2 linked regions of the Tamandua tetradactyla genome follow. The protein of the gene in region 1 purifies or fractionates together with the protein of each later gene. This does not show direct contact. Links are inferred from orthologs where the notes say so. Each region holds a gene or a part of one and is shown on either strand. Other genes may lie near its edges.

Evidence for each region.
Region 2: the proteins of MED9 (region 1) and POLR2B purify together in Homo sapiens (affinity purification with mass spectrometry; 4 studies listed by BioGRID and IntAct, with this or other methods). This does not show direct contact. The link is inferred for Tamandua tetradactyla from reciprocal best matches to the Homo sapiens genes MED9 and POLR2B.

The regions. Positions count from the first base shown.
Region 1 is NC_135332.1:1,171,106-1,181,506, reverse strand, and holds the start of MED9 (mediator of RNA polymerase II transcription subunit 9), read right to left. Parts: upstream 3,943-10,401; 5' UTR 3,898-3,942; coding exon 3,671-3,897; intron 1-3,670.
Region 2 is NC_135345.1:57,598,779-57,609,277, reverse strand, and holds the start of POLR2B (DNA-directed RNA polymerase II subunit RPB2), read right to left. Parts: upstream 4,278-10,499; 5' UTR 4,157-4,277; coding exon 4,138-4,156; intron 1-4,137. Other genes in the region: NOA1 (nitric oxide-associated protein 1), read left to right, coding at 4,911-6,060, 6,986-7,150, 7,702-7,907. UniProt on the Homo sapiens protein: Catalytic core component of RNA polymerase II (Pol II), a DNA-dependent RNA polymerase which synthesizes mRNA precursors and many functional non-coding RNAs using the four ribonucleoside triphosphates as substrates.

The DNA of each region.
Region 1 (10,401 bases):
AGCATTTATTGCTGGTGAAGCGTTTGGGGGAAGGAACATTATTTCATTTCGTACCTCTCTGTATTTGTGAATTTGCCATTGTTATGTTTATTAAATACATTTTTAAAGAAACTTTAATGATGTGGCACTCTGAATCCTTTGTGAGAACAAGAAAGACCACACTGACTCCTTGAGGTCTGTTCCTTATTCACCCCTGGAGAAGGAGTAGACAGAGAGTCAAAGGACTGGCCCAGCCCCACCCCGCCTCCCAGGACTGCTGCAGCCGCACCCACCTCAGGCATCCGTCAGGGCAGGTCATCCCTGGCTCCCCAACCCTGCTCCTTCAGGGGGTGCACTGGCCGCAGCATCCAAGTTCTTCCCTCCTTTCTGGCTCTTCCTTCCTGCCCCACCCACTGTGGGCTCTCACACTCCTGCAAGGCAAACTGATGGCCCCTCCCCAAGCACGCTGCTGCCCGGCTTCCAGTCTTCACCCATCCTCCCCCTCCAGCACTTTGCCTCCCTCTTCCCTTTCAGACTCGCTTCTGGCATCATCCCTCAGGCGTTCTGACACCTCCAAGCGGGAAGAGGCTGCCTCTTCCTTGCTCCTCATGCATACTTCCACCTGCCACTTACATTCCATATCTTTCTCTCACGAGCCTAGAAAGTCAAATAGATGCCTATATAATGACATTTTTAATTGGATCCTAGTCTTTTTTTCACAGCAACACTCTCTCTTCATCGCTCAGAGCCTACTGCTTCCTCCAAGTGGCTTTTCCTGGATTCTGTTTTGTCCTCTTTCTTACAGGGTTTATCTCCAAATGCTCAGCGATCTCAGCTGCCCAGTCACAGGTTTAAGGGTCAAACACTCCGAGGCTTAACAGACCCTCTGAGCGTCAGCATGAGTATCTAATGACTGGACTCAGCTATGCTTGGGGCAGCCGCGTCTCTTCTCTTGGGCTGGTCAGACCCCCAGAGACTGCCCCACACTCCTGCCTGAAAGGGAACAAGCCCGCCAGAAGCAGCCTGGGGGGGGGTGGAAGGCACCCTGCAGTTTGCCAGCATTCTCTCTGTCCCAATTTTCAGTATGGCTCCCCCTGATACCTGAAGGGTGCCCACAGTCTCCTAGTCCAGAGATTCTCTGGCTGACTCTTTCCTAAAAAAAAACAGCCCTCTCATCCTCTGCAAAGACGGAAGAAGGGCAGTCATCTGGTGGCCTGGAGCCGGGGCAGAAGACTGAGATCTGGCTTACTTTTAGGTGATCCTTGGTGGTCTCTCACCTTCACCCCTACTCCAGTTCCTGGCATTGCCAACTCCTGAGATTTTGGGGGAGGCCCTGGCTCTCTGTAGGGCAGACTGCTTTCGGCTTGGGATTCAGACTGCTAAGGGCTGGGTGTCCACTTTGTGGTAACCATATTTTATCCTGTTCTTTCGCTTTATGCTTCTAAAAACTATCCCTTTCATAAGAGAAAAAGAATCACAGAGAATTTAAGTTACTTGCCCAAGGTCACCCAGTCAGTAAGTTTCAGAGCTGTAATGTGAACTCATGTTTTTCACATTTTAGAGTTAAGAAAATTAAGACTTAGAAAAGTTAAGTATTTAGCAAGATTATAAAGTAAGAAGGCATCAGCGCACAGATCTGAATGCAGGCCTTCTGCCTCCGAAGCCTGTGTTCTCTCTAGTATACTCAACTGCCCAAGCCCATTGCTCCTCTAGGGCTCAGGAACGCACCTCCTGTGGGTCCAAGAGGTATCTCTAAGCATCTGGGCCTTCTGTTCTCATTTTGGAGCTTTCTTAAAATTGGTATGCATATTCGTGTTAACCTGGCTAAGGCCTTTATAATTCATTTCTGCCAGGACTGCAGGGTCTGCATCTGCTTTTCTGTTTGCTGCCAGGAAATACTACCTGAGAGTCTGCCCTACCTGACCGTCACACTAACGAGTCTGCCCTAAGTTACACATGGTGCGCTCACACCAGGCAAAGCCCACGGGCATCAGGGCCTAGCAAGGGTCTTGGAGCTGTCTGAATAAAACAGCAGTGGAAACGTCATGTCACCCATGACAAGTGAACTGAGGGTGGCTAACCTCAAAAGAATTTAGGCTGTCAATAGTATGTTCGTGTTGTGAGTAGCAATTTCATTTCAGCAAAACCTCACAGAGCACATTAATGCTCGTTTGAACTTTCCTGAAGTGGTAATTTTAATGTACTTCATTTTGAATAAGGGTTCTAAGCATAAGCACACCTAGTATTATGTGACTATATATTCAAGTAATATAACAAGAAAAATAATTTAAGTACATATGGGGTTTAGAGAAACTTTTTTTCCTTTTTAGGGGTCAGTTTGAAAATTCAGGCTTACCTGAAGGCTGGTCAAAAGGATGACAAACCACCCCCTCTGATAACCATGCTAGAATGAAGGTCAAATCAGGGGATCTAATCCAGTGGGGCAACTTTAAGATTCCCCCTCATCCGCCCCTCTCCTCTCTTGTCTGAATTATGGGCTATTCATATTCATGTCAGGGTTTTTCTACTAGCTGGTAAGAAATATGGGGGTGAAAACTTGGCTCTTGTGCCGCTTTGAAACTATTATGTACCTTAGAAAAGCCATGTTCTAATTCTGATCCAATCTTGTGGGGACAGCTGTTTCCTTTAATCCTGATTTAATATTGTAAGGCAGAAACCCTTTGATTAGATTATCACCAGAGATGTGGCACTTCCAGTTGCTGGTGTGACCTTTCGATTAGATGGAATATGACTCCACCCATCTCAGGTGGGTCCTGATTAGTTCACTGGAGTCTTTAAAGGGAGAAATATTTTGGAGGGAGCTCAGAGCTGACACAGATACAGAAGCTTGGAGAACAACTGCTTCGGAGCTGACAGAGACATGGATGTTTAAAGATGCTTCCAACACAGAGAGAGCACATGCCCGTACCCATGAGATGCTAAGTAAACTAGAACCCAGAACTGTGTTCCAAAGATGCGAAGTGAAGGCACACAGATGCTTAGAAAGGAAACCACTGGCATCAGAAGCTGGAAGCAACAGAATTGGGAACAAGGACCAGCAGCCGCCAGCCACGTGCCTTTGCAGCTGACAGAGGTGTTTCAGAGGGCGGGAGCCTTTCTTGAAGGTAACCTTTTACGGGTGCCTTAATTTAGACATTTTCACCGCCTTAGAACTGTAAACTTGTAACTATTGAATCCCCTTTTAAAAGCCCCTTGTTTCTGGTATATTGCATTCTGGCAGCTTAAACTAATACAGCGTTTTTAAATCCGAACATCCCCTAGCAAGTAGCGCCACACAGGGAAGAAGAGCCATAACTTTTGGCTAAATGAAAAAAGGAAGAAGGGTTCTATTATCCGGATATTAGAAGTGAGAAACTGAGGTCACAGAGGCTTAACTGACTTCATGCGAGCCCTTTCATACCAAAGCCAGTGCACTCAGTCTCTAAACTGGCTTCGTTTTTGTTCACATCAACCAGCCATCAGGGGCCTGGCCACTCTGAGGGCTCAGAGCGTTTGCTGAATGCCTGGAAGGTCCCTGTGTGGTCTCGGGAAGTTCTCTTCTCCCTCTGGGTCTCAGTTTCCCCATCTGTAAAACGGGACGGGCCTAAGAGAGCCCAGGCCTCTTCAGCTCTGAAACGGGTGTAAGAGGCAGGCGGGAACGTCGCGGGCGAGTCCTCCTGGAGGCCCTTACCATTTGATGATGTTGTGCACCAGAGGTAAAAAGGAGTAGTTCTCCTCCTCCTTCACGCCCGCGGGGGACTGCGGCCTCGGTGCCGGCGACGGCTGCGGCTGGGACGCGGCGGCCGGCGGCGGCGGCTGGGGCGGCGGCAGCGGCTTGGTCTCGGGCAGCGACGGCTCGGCGGGCGGCGGTAAGATATCCTCGGCCTGACGCCCGCCGGCCACCCCGGAGGAGGACATGGCACGGGAGGCACGGTCAGTCGGTCAGCAGGCCGCCCCGGAAGAGCCCACCCACCGGAAGCGTCGCGGGTCGCACACGTCACTACTGCGCGGCGTCGGGGCGCGGAGGCGGCTCTGCGCGTGCGCACTGCCGCCTGGGCGGAGCCGAAGCGCAGGGAGCGGGTGGGGAATGCTGTTGCTAGGCGACGGCGTGTTGGCGGGCCTGGGGTGGCCTGCATGAGCTGTGGGTCAGGATAACTCAATTATTAACTACTCAGAATTAGGAGATTTATTTCCAAAAATAACACAGTCTTTATTTCTGTTCTGCTGACGACGAGGATAGAAAGGCAACCAAAGCCGGAAGCCGTGAGATGACTAGGCCTGGCGCGGCCCAGCCCCTGCAGGGCCTCCTGGGGGGCCTCCGGGGGGGCCCACGGGAATGGCGGGGCGGGGGACTGGCCGTACCCCACCGCGCCCAGGAGAAGACGCCACCCGGGCTGGCGCCGCTCTCCCGCGGCCGCACCCTGGGCCAGCCCGAAGGGTCCAGAGACGGCCAGCTGTGGGCCTGCAGAACTCCTAGGACTGCGGAGGCCGGCCGACGAGGTGGCGAGAGCACCTGCTGGCCGCAGGGGCTGGGCGGACTTCTAAAGGAGGGGGACAGTCCCAACGCCCACAGAAGACAGAGGGATGGGTCAGTATCGCCGCCGGAGGGAAAATGGCCTCAGGTACTCGCGGCGGACCAGCTTCATCACACCTACAGCCTTACCTGGTTCAGGGTCGCGGCGAGCCTCAACCGCATCGCCCTGGAATGCAGTCATGTGGCTGACCCCAAAGGTCTCATTTGCACAAGGACCTCCTAGCATCCCAGGCCAGAGAGGTGGGGTTTTGGTGGGTGTATTGGGGTTTGCCAGAGCAACAGAATATGTAAATAGTGAGAGTTTTATTTTAGGAATTGTCTGGGGCAACGCAAGCTGCTAGAAATGTGATATAACAGAAATGGAATGGCTTTTAAAAAGGGAAATTTATTAAGTTGTAAGTTTACATGTTCTAAAGTTGTGAAAATGTCCCAATTAAAGTAAGGCTATAGAAACGTCCAATCGAAGGCATCCAGGGAAAGATCCCTGGGTTCAAGAAGGCGGATGACGTTCAGAGTTTCTCTCTCCAATGGAAAGGCACATGGTGAACATGACGACATCTGCTAGCTTTCTTTCCTGGCTTCCTGTTTCATGGAGGTCCCCCAGGGGCATTTTCCTTCTTCAACTCCAAAGGTCTCTGGCTCTGTGAGCTCTAAAGCTTTTTCCAAAATGTTTCCCTCTTAAAGGGCTCCAGTAAGCAACCCCACCTTGAATGGGTGGAGACACATCTCCATGGAAATCACCTAATCAGAAGTGACCACCCTCAATTGGGTGGGTCACATCTCCGTGGGAACATTCAAAAAGCCTCCACCCAGCAATATTGAGTGAGGATTAAAGAACTTTTGGGTTTTCTGGGGTCCACCACAGATTCAAACCGGCACACGTGAGGATTGACAAACACCAACTCTGTATGGAAGGCTTAAGATTGGGTATTCTGACGAAGGTGAGGATGAATCCCCTGAGAGAAGCAGGCTAGCTGAAGTAGAAAAAAGCATATGCTTAAATTTAATCTATTCCTGTAGGTGCGGACCCATTGAAAGTAGGATCTTTTGATGAGGCTACTTCAGTTAAGGTGTGACCCACCTCATTCAGGATGGGCCGTACTCTAATACTGAGTTCTTTAGAAGAGAGTGAAATGCAGAGAAAGAGAGAGCCACGGAAGCAAAAAGCTGAAATCAATGAAACCTAGAAGAGAAGGGAGAGACCAGCAGATACCACCGTGTGCCTTGGCATGTGGCAGAGAAGCCAAGGGTCACCAGCAGCTGGTCTTCAGGAATAAAGCATCACCTTGATGATGCCTTGATTTGGACATTTTCCTGGCCTCAAAACTATAAGCTAATAAATTCCCATTGTTTAAGCCAACCCATTTCATGGTATTTGCTGGAGCAGCCTAGTAAACTAACACACAGAAGCAGGAATTCTTCCTTTTGACTTCTGAAGTCATCAGTTCTGCCTTTAAGGCCTCCACTTGATTGGATGAAGAGACTCTCCTCATTGCTAAGGGCAATCTCTGCTGTCGATTGTAGATACAGTCGGCCGTAGATGCAATCAACTGATTGTAGATGCAAATCCATCTACAAAATACTCTCACAGTAGCCATCAGGACAATGCTTCCTTTACCAGACAGTTGCACCACATGACCTAGCCAAGTTGACACGTGAAAATAGCCATCACAGTGGGCTTGTGACTATTCTCAAAACAGGTATGATGAGAGGGCTGTACCAGAAATTTCTGGGCAAGGGGGATCCCCATTCTAGGCTTAGCAAGTCAGCGGAGGCAAACATGGACTAGGAATGCTCTAGGTGGGTGTAGCCTGTCCTTCTTCCGTCTCCCATCCTGGGCAGTGAGGAAAGGCAAGGAGCCCATCTTCAGGCAGCATGATGAGCAGGAGAGCGTGAGGACATGATGGCCATGCTCAGGAAAAGCGCCATTGCTGGCATTTCCAGATGCACTGGGAAGGTGCACGTGGGGGCAGGCCCTTGGGCAGCACGAGTATGCCACAGGGAGTGGGCATTAGGGAGTGTGACGAGAGCTTTGGTTACGGGCCTCAGCCCTTTTCTCTCAGAGAGATGGCGAGGAGGGACGGAAAGAGGGCGACAGGGTTCTCTTCTAACTGTAGATGTCTCCCCGCTAAGGGACAGTTCAGGATTCTGGTAGAGCGTGGAGGGGAAAGGCTGCTGTGATGAGGCCAAATGGGCACCTCTGGAGTCATGTGGAAACTACTCACAGGACAAAAGGACCAGAAGGAGTAGCTGTGACGGTGATGATGATGGTAGCACCTCCCACATTGCCATGGGGTGAACGAGATAAAAGGAGCTGAGCTATAGCCATCGCCTCGTTTAATTCACAAAGCGGTTCCTGAAGGTGGCTGGAGAAGCCCTATTTTATAGATGAGTAAACCAAGGCTTATGATGGTTTGGATACGGGCCTCTGGCTCACACAGCAAAAAAGCAGAGAAGTTTGCCTGATTCCAAGCCCTTCCAATTCTGAACCTTTGCATCCAAAAGATTAGAATTCAGAAGGCAATCCAGTATCTATCGATAATATCCCCATTTTCTTCTCCCAGTCTACTTTATAAAGCCTTAACTTTATCCTTGACAGAATGTCTTTAAAAACAACAAAAATACTTCAGGTATAAATAGATATGGCTAAAGAAAAACAAATTGAAAGCGTAGCAAGCCTGGACAAGTATACCACATTGACGGTTTGCCCTAAAAATAGTTAATTTCATTACTGGCCAAGAGAAAAGCTGACTTCATAACACTGCAAGCAGATGTCAGAAAAATACTGCCTGAGCTGGTTTCATTAAAGCTGAAATTGCCACAACAAATGTGTGTTTATAGCAGCTCTGCTAAACGTCAGAACGGGCAGGTGCTTCCCTGGTATGAAAGGAGAGTTTGATGCTGTAAACTTTGTGAAGTTGACCTCTCTGGGTATGGCGTGCTTAGGCAGGTTTGCACTCTTTCTTGGCTAGTTCCAGTCACCTTGGTGGCTCCGAGTCCAGGCCCTGGAGGCACCTGCTGGCCGCCCCATCCCAGCTCAGCTTTGGTGAAGTCCTGGGACTTTGGACAATTCTTTAACTTCACCTTGTTTAACAATTGCTTAACCTCATGCAACTTCACGGGGGATGAATGAGTCATTACATGTGAGGCCCTCGGGAAGGTCTCTGCGCACAGTAAACAGTAGTTATTCACCAATTAGAATCAGACTGCGGGCAGCTGAATGGAATGATCTAGATGAGTGCCCTTCCTGGAAATATAACGCAGGCCGCCAACGAGAATTGCCTCTGTCAGCTTCAGTTTTCTGGTAGCCATGTTAGAAAATCAAACAAGCTAGCAAAAAACCCAAGTGAAATTAATTTTAATAATATACTTTAAACGGACATATCGAAAACATTGTCACTTCAACATGTTATCTACATTGAGAATTTTTAATGAGGTATTTTGCTGATTTTTTCATGTGCTCAGTGGCCGAATGTGGGATTGAGCAGGGCAGTCTGAGTGGCTTAGCTGCAGGTCACAGTTACAATGTTGACAGAAAGCCAGTCTAAAGCAGGCGGGATGTAGAGGGCATGACGGATTATATCAATGTCAGTTTTTAAAAGGAACTGGAGGCTCGAAAGAATGGGAAGCAGGGACCCAAGGGACAACTGCACATTGGGGTTCGCAGTGGCATCGTTCATGGTTGCCAGCAGGCGGAGACAACACAGGCGTCCATCAGTCAAACGGATGAACAAAGTGTGGTGTGTGTGTGCACGCACACACACACACACTGGAATATCACTCAGCCGTGAAAAGGAGTGATGTATTGATACATGCGACAAAATGGGTAGACCTCGAAGGTATCATGTTGAGTGAGATGTCAGGTGCAAAAGAACAAATATTGTATGATTCCACTCATCTGAAATGTCCAGAATAAGCAGATTCATAGAAACAGAAAGACCGGAAGTCACCAGGGGCTGGAGCGTGACAGAGCATGGAAGGTTATTGCCTGATGAGCGCAGAGTTTCGTTTTGAGGTGATGGGAGGGTTTTTGCCCAGGACGGTGGTGATGAGAGCACAACGCCATGAATGGTGCACTTAGAAACGGGTCAAATGGCAAATTGTCTTATATACATTTCCATAAGAAGATTAAAAAATTTTTAAATCTGGCGGCTCTGGAGGCACTCTTAAGGCAAACCTCAGTTAGACATTGCTACCTATCATAACTTGCCAAACCCCAACCAGGACCATTCCTGCCAATCCTTAAGAACACCTAGGTCAATATATAAGATTCTATAAAGGTTCCAGGCACTAGGGTAACTTTCCAGAAGCCTACAACTTCCAGATGGGTCCCTGGACCAGGTAAGTCCTGAAACCTAGAGGGCCCAGCCTCTCCAGAACATCAGCTAGTTCCATCTCCCTACTCCATATTAGTGACAGACCCTTCCAACATGAAAAAGTTAGAGTGGACATAGCCCCAACACCCCTAAAGATTGGGAGAAAGATCAAAGGTGATGGTGGAGTTATACAGAGAAGGTCAGGTTTAACAAATGAGTACAATTGCTCAACCATTATATTGATACTTCTTTTAGTCTCCAGTATCTTAGAGCAGCTAGAAGTAAAAAACCTAAAATCGTGGAATTGTAACCCATACCAAACTCTGACATCTGTTCTACAACTAATTGTTGCACTGTGCTTTGAAATTTATTGCTTTATATATATATGCTATTTTTCACAGAAAAGAAAAAAAAAGTCAATTGTGCTGATGAATGCGCAGCTGAATGATGACTTTGTGGGCCATTGACTGTACATTTTGGATAATTACATGGTATAAAATATATAATGTATACCAATAAAAATAAATCATTAAAACAGAGCTAGTGGACACATCCCCATCATATTCGGGGCTGTGTTACCTGTCCTGGGCCAGGGGTGGGAATTGACAGGCTCTGCTGCTGTCTGTGCAGCGTTTCCTTGTTTCTATTACAAAAGGAATAGAGGCAAACGGTAAGCATTGTAACAACTGACAGTTATGGGGGTGGGATACACTAAAAGCCGGGCTCCATTAACTTTCTCTGTGACCTTGGACCAGTTACTTAATCTTCCTGTGCCTCAGTTTCCCTGTCTGCAAATGCTAGTACCTTCCTCGTGGGACAGCTATGTACAAACTGCTGCGAGCCGCGCCTGGCACCTGATCAGCCCTATTTAAGTTCCAGCCCCTGCTGCTACCTTTTTTATGATTGTTAATTTCTCAAAACCCAACCCCCCATCATTATTCATTATGAAACAAAAACCAGACTGCACCTGAGACTGCCCACACCACGGGATACGTGTGACTCTACCTGGGCTGATCTGTTCCTTCCCCATGAAGACCCAAAATAGCCCCTTCTGTGTCAGAGCGACTCGGGCGTCGTTAAACCGTCATCTCATCGTAGGCCTGGGGCTTTTCATCAAAGATAGGTTCTTACATCTGAGTCATCCTTTCACTTCCTTACCCAGTGCCTCGGGCAGGTTGAAAAAGCCATGAGAGACTTTGATTTTGTGGGGTTAAAAAAATGTGTCAGTCATCAATTTTCAAGCTAAGCAGAGAGCGAGATAAACCGGAACCACCTGGCCTGAGAGCTGGCATCTGACTGAGACCTTGGCTTCGGGTCCACCCGCTCGGGTCTGTTCCCTCTGAATTCGCTGTGAATTCACCCCCCTTTTATTCCTTTCAACCACCCTCTTCTTCTCTAAAGCCCCCCATTATGTCCAATTTCTCAACTCATTTCATTTCTGAAGCATTCATTCTGAAGCATTTCGGCACACAAAGTCTACCGTGTTTCTTTCAGATGCACAGATTCTCTCCGATGTCCTGTCCTTTAGTTCTTGGGCCTCTTTTCATCATTTTTAGCCAGGTCTCTTCCACC
Region 2 (10,499 bases), on another chromosome or scaffold:
AGCAGCTTAGAGGTTGAATTCACAGTCATAAAGGAGAAGCAAAGAGGAAGGGGTGAAAAAGGGAGAGGAAATGCTGCTTGAGGATCATTTATCTCTTTAAAAGCTTCTAAAAGATACAATAAATGCTGATATCTCTATCTGCAGATTTTCCCTTGTTTGCCTTAAATTTAAAGTTTTAATATAATCTATTGTTCAAATACAGTCTTTACAATGAAAAAAAAACTCCCAGCAGGCAACTATATATGAACATTAAGTGCTAATGAGGGGCCTAAATTACAAAGACTTAGGAATCAGTAACAAATGGGTGGCAGATTAAGGAGTCACATACAGAACGGAAGAATGAAGGCAAGATATTAGGGAACATTGCTGTTTGAGAGTTATGTGAAGGAAAATGAAGGCATGAAAGAGACTGATTTATCCATTCATTCATTCATTCAATATTTATTGAGTGTGAGTGTCTCCTATGTCCCAAGCACTGGACAGAGGTACTGGCTAGCTTATCAATACAAAGACAGCACTATTCTTAGGGAGAGTATTGCCTACTGGAGAGACAGAGACAAGATTAAGCCAATTAAGCAAAACAATATGATATAGATACTCTCAACAGGACCTGCAGAGGGCAGGGAAGACTTCCCAAAAGGTAAGGTGAGCACAGACTTAATGAAAAGGAGTAAATCAGGCAAAGACGGGATGTGGGTGGGAGGGGTGGAAGAAAGAAGTAGTCTAACTAGAGGAAAACAACTTGTACAAAAGACTCCACAATTAAAAGACAGTGAAGCCCCTGGAAAAGGCCTAAAACTGAGAAACCCTTAGGTCTTATTCGCCCTCTTTTCTGCTTTTTTCGGGGGAAAGCGTTCCTTATTTTTTCTTTCCATAAATAGGCTTTATTCAGTATAGTTTGCATAAAATAAAATTCATCAACTTTAAGTATGCAAATGGGCAAGTTTTAACAAACGTATAGTGTGTAACCACCATCACGATCATACGGAACATTTTCATCAGTCCAAAATGATCTCTCCTGCTACTGCCTTCCATCACTACAATTGTATTTCTAGAATTTCAAATAAATAGAATCACATAGTATGTAGTCTTTTCAAGTGGCTTCTTTCACTTAGAATGCTGCTTTTGAGATTTATCTAAGTTATGGTATACATCTGCAGTATCTAAAGTTCACAATGTGTCTGTTTTTTGTTGCTGAGATTTTTAGCTAGCACAAATAAAGTTGTAATGAATGTGCGTACAAAAAAAAAAAAAAAAAAAAGGAGAGTGTAGCACACCCAAGGAATGAAAGAAGGTTAATGTAGCTAAATCACTGAACTGGAAGTTGGAAGTGGTAAGGAGGGTTGGTCATTATCAAGAGTTCTGAGGAACCAAACTAGCAGGGGTGTGGCATTATCAGGCTTTCATTTTGGAAAGGATATTATGCCATTATGGCCACAATGTGGAAAGTGGATAGGAGATGTAAGACTGGAGGTAGAGAAACCAGTCTGGGGAAGTGATCTAGGCAAGTGACGGTAGTGGTCTGAACCACAACTGTGACAGAGTGGATAGGAGAGAAATGACCAGATTTGACATACTTAACAGACAGAACCCTCAAGGAGAAAGAGTGGCTATGAATGTGAACAGAAGAGAATGAAAAGAAAAGTCTGCAAGGTAAGAAGAATCAAGCGAAAGTGACATGGCAAAAGGAGGAGTGAGTTTCCAGGACAAAGTCAACAACTATGCCAAATGCCACAGTGTTCAAGATGAAGTTTTAAAAATGTTCACATAACATTTATAATGTGACTGTGTGATTGTGAGAACCTTGTGTCTGATGCTCCTCATATCCAGGGTATGGATAGATGAGTAAAAAATATGGATTAAAAATAAATAAATAAATAATGGGGGGGACAAAGGGTAAAATAAATTGGGTAGATGGTAACACTAGTGGTCAATGAGAGGGGGGTGAGGGATGTTTGAGTGTTATCTTTTTTCTTTTCATTTCTTTTGCTGGGGTGATGCAGATGTTCAAAAAATGATCATGGTGATGAACATACATACAACTGTGAGATGATATTATGAGCCATTGATTGTACACCATGTATGGTATGTTTTTATGTCAAAGAATATATATTTGTATGTTAAGCTTTTACTGTAAAAATATATTTTTTTAAATGTTCATCTAATTTATCAACTGACAAGTCACTGTTTATCCTATTAAGAGCTGTTTTAATATAGTGGCATGAGCAGAATCCGACTGCAAAGGGTTGAGGAGAAAATGAACCACGTGAATTAGAAGCAACATGTATAGCCTATTCCTTCTAGAAGCTTAGCTATGAATGGAAGGAGAAAGGCAAAATTTTGGAAGAAAAAGGAAATGATGGAAAGAGGGCTTAAACGGTTTCCTGAGGATGAGAAAGCTCTGATATTTTCTCATAAAAAGAAGCTAGTGAAAAGAAATTCCTGAAAACTGATGAAGGGATATCTAATAAATATTTCAAAGGAATGGAATGTAGACTTGATGCCAGAGCAAAGACTTGACAGGATAAGCTTAATTTTTTTTAAAAAAGTTAAATTGCCACTGGGAAACTAAATTAGTACAACCACTATGTTCGTCTTTTTTTTTTTTGTATGCTGTGTAGTGGGGGTCACATTTCATTTTTTTTCCATGTGACTACCTCGTTATTGCAGTACCACTTCTAGAATTTTGGGGAGGCAGATGGGAGTACTCAGGTATGGCGGTCATTTGGCACCATCTATCAAAATGTTAAATATATGTATCATTTGATACATCAATTTCACATGTAGGAGTTTATCTTACAGACATACGTTACCTTACAGACTACAGACATACAAATGACATAAGTACAAGATTATTCATTACAACATCTTTGAACTAGAAAAGGACTGCCCATCAGCAAAAGACTTGAGTTATGGTACATCCACACAAAGTAAGCTGCTGTAGAGAAAAATAAAAGGAGAAAGCTTTCTATCTATTGATATTTAAATCTCCTAGCTGTATTAAGCAAGCAAACAAAAAAGTACAGAAAAGTGTGAGTGCTACTTTTTGCCTGTAAAAGGGAGAAAAATACAGAATCCCATTTATTTTTGCTTGGATATGTATAAGATACACTGGAAAGCGATAAGAATCTAAGAACATTTGTTAATCTATTGTGGACACATGATAAACAAGAATGAATCCTGACATTCAACATTTTTGTATTTTCTGACTTGCGAGCCATAAAATATATTACCTACTTAAAAATAAGATAAAAAACTTCTTTAAAAATTTATTCCCACTGAAACAGGAATTAAGAGAATAAAGGAATGTAATGCTAATAAATTTCTAGATAAAAGATGTAATGAGACAGAGAAGTCAGAGCAGTATTTTAAGCTTTTGCTTCTATTTTCTCCGAGAAGTAGCTAAAGGAACGAAAAAAGAGTGAGGGGTGGCCATGGGATGGTAAATTCGAAGAGAATGAAGTATGAAATAGCAGCTGTAGAAACGGAAGAGGAAGGTTTAAAAACACAACATGAAGATACACTAAGAAATATATAAGTGAAAAGAAAATAAGATATATTGAACCATCTTAGAACTGTGTCATCTTGTGGGAGAAGAAAGTTTAAAAGTAATTTTTTGAAGACAATTTAGACTTAAGAAAACATGAAGGTAGGCCAAACTAGATGCAATCTCTTCCCCTGCTGCATTCTTTGTCTCCGGTGTATTTTCAGGGCCTAGCTCAATGCCTGGCACAAAACCGATGCTCAAAATTTGAACTACGCAATAAACAGGACAACTGTGAACCCAAAAAATAAAAAAGGGGGCCCTTTGCTTCAGACCTCGTTAAAACAACGAACTTGTCTTAACGATTCCGTACGCTTTTGCAATACGGTAAGGAGACATCAGAATTAACAGCACAGATAATAGAGATAGGGGAAATATAAGAGCCAACTGTATGGAGACCATCAACGCTATTTCCCCGCATCTTCCATCCCACGCAGTATGTTCTTCGCTCCCGGCCTGCGGGGGTAGGGAAGCATGACTGAAACCACTCGTGCAGTGGGCGAGGGGAGGCCGCAAATCCTCTATCCACCCAATTCCCCAAATTTCCCTCCCTAAATGGGTCACCGTGAAGCGTATTTTGAGTGGTCACCTACCCTCATCCGCGTCATACATTTTGGCAACCGGTTCCCGAGCTCTTAACTCTAGAAATCTGAGAGAGAATGCAGCGCAGCAGCAGCAAACCAGAGACACAAACCATACGACTTCCGTCTGGGACGTTCCCAGAATACTCTGCGTTTTACACCTAAAACCCTCCCACGAGAAGTCAACTGTAGGATTGAGTCTGCGCAAATAGTAGCGTAAGGTTGTCCGGGGTTAAATTTGCGCATGCGCAAATTGTAAACCGATGGCGCCGTGGCTGATTGCTAGTTCTGACTGTAGTTTGCCTGTCGGATCCGGTCAGCAAAAGATATCTGGGAAGATTTTTGTTTTTTCACTGTTGTTACATTTTTTTGCTCCTGCAAAAAAACCAAAAAGATTTATTAATAAAAGATTTTAATTGTGACCCGTGAGTCCGCACTTCTATTTTTTTGCACTCCTGAAATCCAAAAATCACTAAGCTTTTCAAAAATGTGATTTACTAAGGGGAGAAAGGGGCTTGCCGGCGGAGGCGCACTGAAGAAGCTTAATGAACAAACCAAAGCGCTCATTATCATCTTCTGCCGGTCTAGGTTTCTATTTAGGGCCTTGGTGCAATTGCAGCAGAGCGCTCCAATCGCGAGAATTCACGGGATGAGACGTGGAAAGAAGAACCGGATGAGGCAGGTGACAAGTGACCACTCCCAGGCACCAGCAGGAGCTCGTCTCCCGGCCCCAGTGCGCGTGTGCGCACGTGTCTCCGCCTCTTTGCCGGAGGGCGGTGTTCCTCATGCTGCCCGCGTTTCTAACGCGCCGAGTTCTGTGGCCTTTACTGTGGGGATCGGCTCCCGTGGTAGTGCGCCATGGCCTCCCGGAGCCCCTTCTCGGGAGGGGATGTACGGCCGCTTCCTTCTTCCAGCACTTCTCCAACCTGGGACGTGAGTTTCCTCGTGGCCCGACGGCGACTCGGGACTATGGTGGAAGTCCCGACTTGGAGGAGCGTTTTCTGTTCCCCGAGTACATCCTGGAGTCAAAGCCCGCACCGACCTCCGAAGAGCTGCTGGAGGAGCTACGGCAGCGGCAGGAGGAGGAGGAGCGGCAGAGGCAACGGCGGCGGGAGCAGCGGCAGCTGCAGAAGGTACGGGCCAGATGTCGGGAGCACCAGATAATGGGGCATCCAGACCCGGCGGTGCCGTCCAGCGGCGTGAGCTGCTCGGGCTGTGGAGCGGAGTTACATTGCCAGGATCCCAGCGTGCCTGGCTACCTGCCCAGCGAGAAGTTCCTCAGTGCAGCGGCGCAGGAGGACGGCGGGCTAGCGCGGACGGTGTGCCAGCGCTGCTGGCTACTGGTGCACCACCAGCGCGCCCTGCGCGTGCAGGTGAGCCGCGAGCAGTACCTGGAGCTGGTGAGCGCCGCACTGCGGCGACCCGGGCCCTCCTTGGTGCTCTACATGGTAGATCTGCTGGACCTGCCCGATGCCCTGCTGCCCGACCTGCCTGCGATGGTGGGCCCCAAGCAGCTGATCGTGCTGGGGAACAAGGTGGACCTGCTGCCCCAAGACACCCCGGGCTACCGTCGTCGGCTCCGCGATCGTCTTTGGGATGACTGTGTCCGCGCCGGGCTCCGGCCATCCCCTAGCCACCAGGGGCCACAGGACCCGGGCAGAAATGGGTCTCGGGAGCTGGCGGAGAAACGGAATCCGCCGTCCCAGCACCGTACGGTGCTCAGGGACGTGCGGCTGATCAGCGCCAAGACCGGTTACGGGGTGGAAGAGTTGATCACCGCGCTTCAGCGCTCTTGGCGCTACCGCGGCGATGTCTACCTGGTCGGCGGCACCAACGCCGGCAAGTCCACTCTCTTCAACACACTCCTGGAGTCGGACTACTGCACCGCCAAGGGCGCGGAGGCCATCGACAGAGCTACCATCTCCCCATGGCCAGGTGAGCCTTAAGAGCCTCGGCCTTTTTCGCTCTCTGAGAAGACGGATGTCTGGTGGTGGCCCGAGGCTCCGATTACATCTCTGTATAATGTCCACCAGGGGGTGCCTGGAATCTTTCCTTTTAAAATTCTCTCCTTAGGACACTAGTCTCTTTTCTGAGTCAGTTTAGTGCTTGGAGATACTATATATTTTTTTACTAATTTTCTAGTGGAAATACTTATGGAGCACTTCTTTGTGTCAGTCGCTGTTCTAGGAAATGGCGATACGCCAGGAAACGTCCTACCCTCTTGGACGTTTCCCTTATAGCCTTCTAGTTTTATGTTCCTCCCAAAAGTCGTGCTTCCTTTTACTCCATGAACTTCCTTTCACTCTGCAATCCTACTCCCCACGTCTTGAGTTTATTCATGAGAAAGTATGCTATGCATGTTTAACATTTGAGTAATTCACTAATGCAATATATGTGGCTTTGTTGAGAAGAAATGTCTACTTTGTCACAGAAGTTTCTGTAAATGGCTCCTTCTGTGACCATGTTTGTATTTAACAGTTGACTCTTTAGTGTTACTAGCTGCCCCGTTTATTCCTTTGAAATCAGTTTAATTTTGTTTGGTAAACTGTTTTTCTTCCCTATCTTGCTTACACTTTAGTTGCATTATACATAGACGTGCTTTTGTACTGAATGGTAGCATGGTGAAAATGGAAAAAATTTAAGCCTACAGGAACTAGAATTCAAATCCTAGTCTAGGCTATGATCCAGTCTCTGAGACTGTTTCCTCATCTCTAAAATGAAAATAATTTTATAGAGGGTCATATCAAGGGTTGATTAAGATAGAACACAGTGTAGCTCCTCAAAACTGATAGTTTTCCTCCTTTTACTCCCTTTTTTGGTACAATGTTTATAAAAACATACTTATTCTTTGGTATTTCAGGTACTACATTAAACCTTCTTAGGTTTCCTATTTGCAACCCAACTCCTTACAGAATGTTTGAAAGGCACAAGAGGCTTAAAAAAGATGCGGCTGAATCTGAAGAAGCTCTTACTAAGCAAGAACAAAGTCAACTTAATATCTTGAAAAAGCATGGTTATATAGTAGGTAAGCATCTTCCACAGGAAAACGTAATGGTTCTATGCCAAAATTCTTTGTTGAGCAACCTGAAATACAGCTGTCTGGTCATTAGAACTTAGAGCCCTTTTAAAGCATGGCTACTTTTTGGAAGTTCAGTAATCTGTGAAAATGGAGATTGTGATACTTAGAGAAGTCCAGGAAAGGAAGCATGCAATAACTGTCCACCTAGACAATGTCAGTGGTAGAAGCATTTTCCCCAAGCTATTCCCTCTGCCAGGTAGACCGTTACAGATAGTAAAGACTGTTCATTTCATGCAGCAGCTTAAAAACTGAGCTGTCCCCTTTCCTTGGTATCCCTTTTCAGCCTTCCTTTATTAAAAAGTTTGATTTCCAACCTTCCCCCACCCCCCATGTGTGCCCAGCCAGACACACACTTGATCATTGCAACAGTGTAACTCTCATGCTTTGTTACAAAGATAGCATTGTTTCCATTTGCTGTAGTTAGTAATTTATTTGAAACAAGCAAAAAACTGTCTGGAGTCAAAAGTTTTAAAGGAGCACCTGATAACTTATTCCAGGAAGAGTTGGAAAAACATTCCTATACTCAAAAGAAAAGACGGATGAAGCTGCCTTTGAGTTTGATGCTGATTCACTTGCCGTTGACATGGAAAATGAACCTGTTCTGGTTGCAGAAAAATCCACCAAAAAAGTAGAATTGACCCCACAAGATGTGAAAGATTCCCACTGGTTTTATGATACTCCTGGAATTACAAAGGAAAATTGTGTATGTATTGGTTTGTTTTAGAAATATTAACTGTCATTGTGTAAGTACTGTATTAATTGGCAGAAACAAGAAAAGGGACTATACTTTCATTTTAGACTCAGTTCTGATTCATTCATAGAAGCAATTCACAGATGACTCCATATACCTTCTAGTACTGCATTATATTTGGTAGACTTCACTGCTGACAACCTATTTGCATTATCATTGTGGGTGTTAATGTTGGTTAAGAGACATTTACAGAATCCTAGACCTTTGAGGTTGGAAGGAAATCTCAGACATTACTGCTGCAGTTCAACTACTTATTCCATGCTTGAATTCCCTTTATAACACATACATGAAAAGGTCATCCAGCTTGAACTTAAGAGTGACTCACCCATCAGCTAAAGCAGTATCACTTTACCTCCCCAGGTAACCCATTTAGTCTTTGATTCTCTTTGTGTTCAGCTGAAGAGTTTCCCTGTATGTTAGACCCATTCTTGAAGTTCTATGAAACCAATGTAATGCCAATGTAATTTCCTTACAAGACCTTGATTATTTTAAAGGTCAATGTCCTCTCTCATTGTCCTTCTATCCTTACCCTTTTCTTCTCTTTCATTTGTTCATCTGATGAACATTGAACACGCATGCTGACATAATCCAGGTAATTTGTCTTCCTTTCCTACAGCTATTCTCTTTGAGAGATAGGGCCACAACCATTTATTCATCATCCCATGCTGCCTTTCAGAATGTTTTATTTCTTTTGTTTTTCTTAAAGTATGATACTCAGAACTGAATTTTTGCATCAGTGCCCTCAGATGAGTTTAGTTTGGAATAGGGTTAACTCTACCTGTCCTGCCTTTATACATCATTTGAATCCAATTGTAGGATCTCATGGCAGCTTTCGATCTTGCAAATTTTATTTTCATTTGCAGTTTTGATTTTCATCCAAGTTGTTGATTGATTCAAGCTTGTTTCTTGCAACAGATCTGTTAATCAGTATCCTTTGAATCTGGTTACTGACCAGTTTCTAATTCACTTAATTATGTCTGTATCTCCCTGTGTTCTAGTTTGCTAGCTGCCGGAATGCAATATACCAGAAATGAAATGGCTTTTAACAAGGGGAATTTAATAAGTTGCTGGTTTACAGTTCTAAGGCTGAGAAAATGTCCCAATTAAAACAAGTCTATAGAAATGTCCAATCAAAGGCATCCAGGGAAAGATACCTTGGTTCAAGAAGGCTGATGAAGTTCAGTGTTTCTCTCTCAAATGAGAAGGCACATGGCAAACACACTCAGGGTTTCTCTCGCATCTGGAAGGGCACATGGCAAATACAGCGTCATCTTCTAGCTTTCTCTCCTGGCTTCCTGTTTCATGAAGCTCCCCGGGAGGCATCTTCCTTCTTCATCTCCGAAGATCACTGGCTGGTGGACTCTCAGCTTCATAGTGTTGCTCTCCCTGAATCTCTCTCTCCAAAATGTTTCCTCTTTTGTAGGACTCCAATAAACCAATCAAGACCCATCCAAATGGGTGGAGACATGTCGTCCCTTAATCCAGTTTAACAACCACTCTTGACTAAATCACATCAACCCGGGAGATGATCTCATTACAGTTTCAAATATACAGTATTGAGTAGGGATTATTCTACCTTTATGAAATGGGATTTATATTAAAACATGGCTTTTCTTAGGGGGCGTACTTCCTTTCAAACCAGCACACCCTGTGATAGAACACCAAGTTCTTAAGTATTTTTCCTTCCTTTGCCTCATCAGGATCACTTATAATTTCACTCTCAGAATTGTATTCTAGCCAGTATCCTGTGTCAAAGAATCACGTTGATCATTTAACTTTTTTCTACCCTCCTAAAGTAATTGTGCCCAGTTTTTGATTCCTTAGTAATCAATAATGTCACCATAACAATGCTGCTTTCTAATAGTGTTCTGTTCTGTCACTTCAACTTCATCAACTAATTCTTACCTTTCAGAGCCAGTTGGGTCTAGGATAGCAGTTATGTTAGTCATTTATACCTTATTGTGAAGCAGTTGTATCAGAAAGGCAAAAATTTGCAAAATATTCCAGCCAGCAAAATGAGATCCTCAAGTTTTTAAATGTGAAAGGTCTTACAACACTAGTAGTTTCCATCCATGCCAATTTTACAGATAGATTCATTTGATGCCTTAAACCAGTGTTACCCAAACTGAACTAAAAAATTTTGTTGTGAAATAGAAATAATAGGCTCTCTGCTTTAAAAAGGTTAAAAATTTTTCCTTACTGAAAGGAATTTTATTGTGCTTTTTCTTTTTTTCTTTTTCTTTGTGTGTGTGTGTGTATGCTCTATGGACAGGGTAGCATTTCATTTTTTTTTCCATGTGAGTATCCTATTATTGCAGTACCGTTTATTGAATTTTTTGTTAGTTTATTTGCCTTTGTTGGTTCATTTGTTTGTTTGGGAAAATGCATGGCCCTGGAATCAAGCCCAGGTGTTCTGCATGGCAGGTGAGAATTCTACCACTGAACTACCCTTGCACCTCCCTTTATTTCATCTTCCTAAACACAAATGCTGAAGAAAACTATTTCCATCTCCCTTGTAAGATATTTTCTTGTGACCCTCTCCAG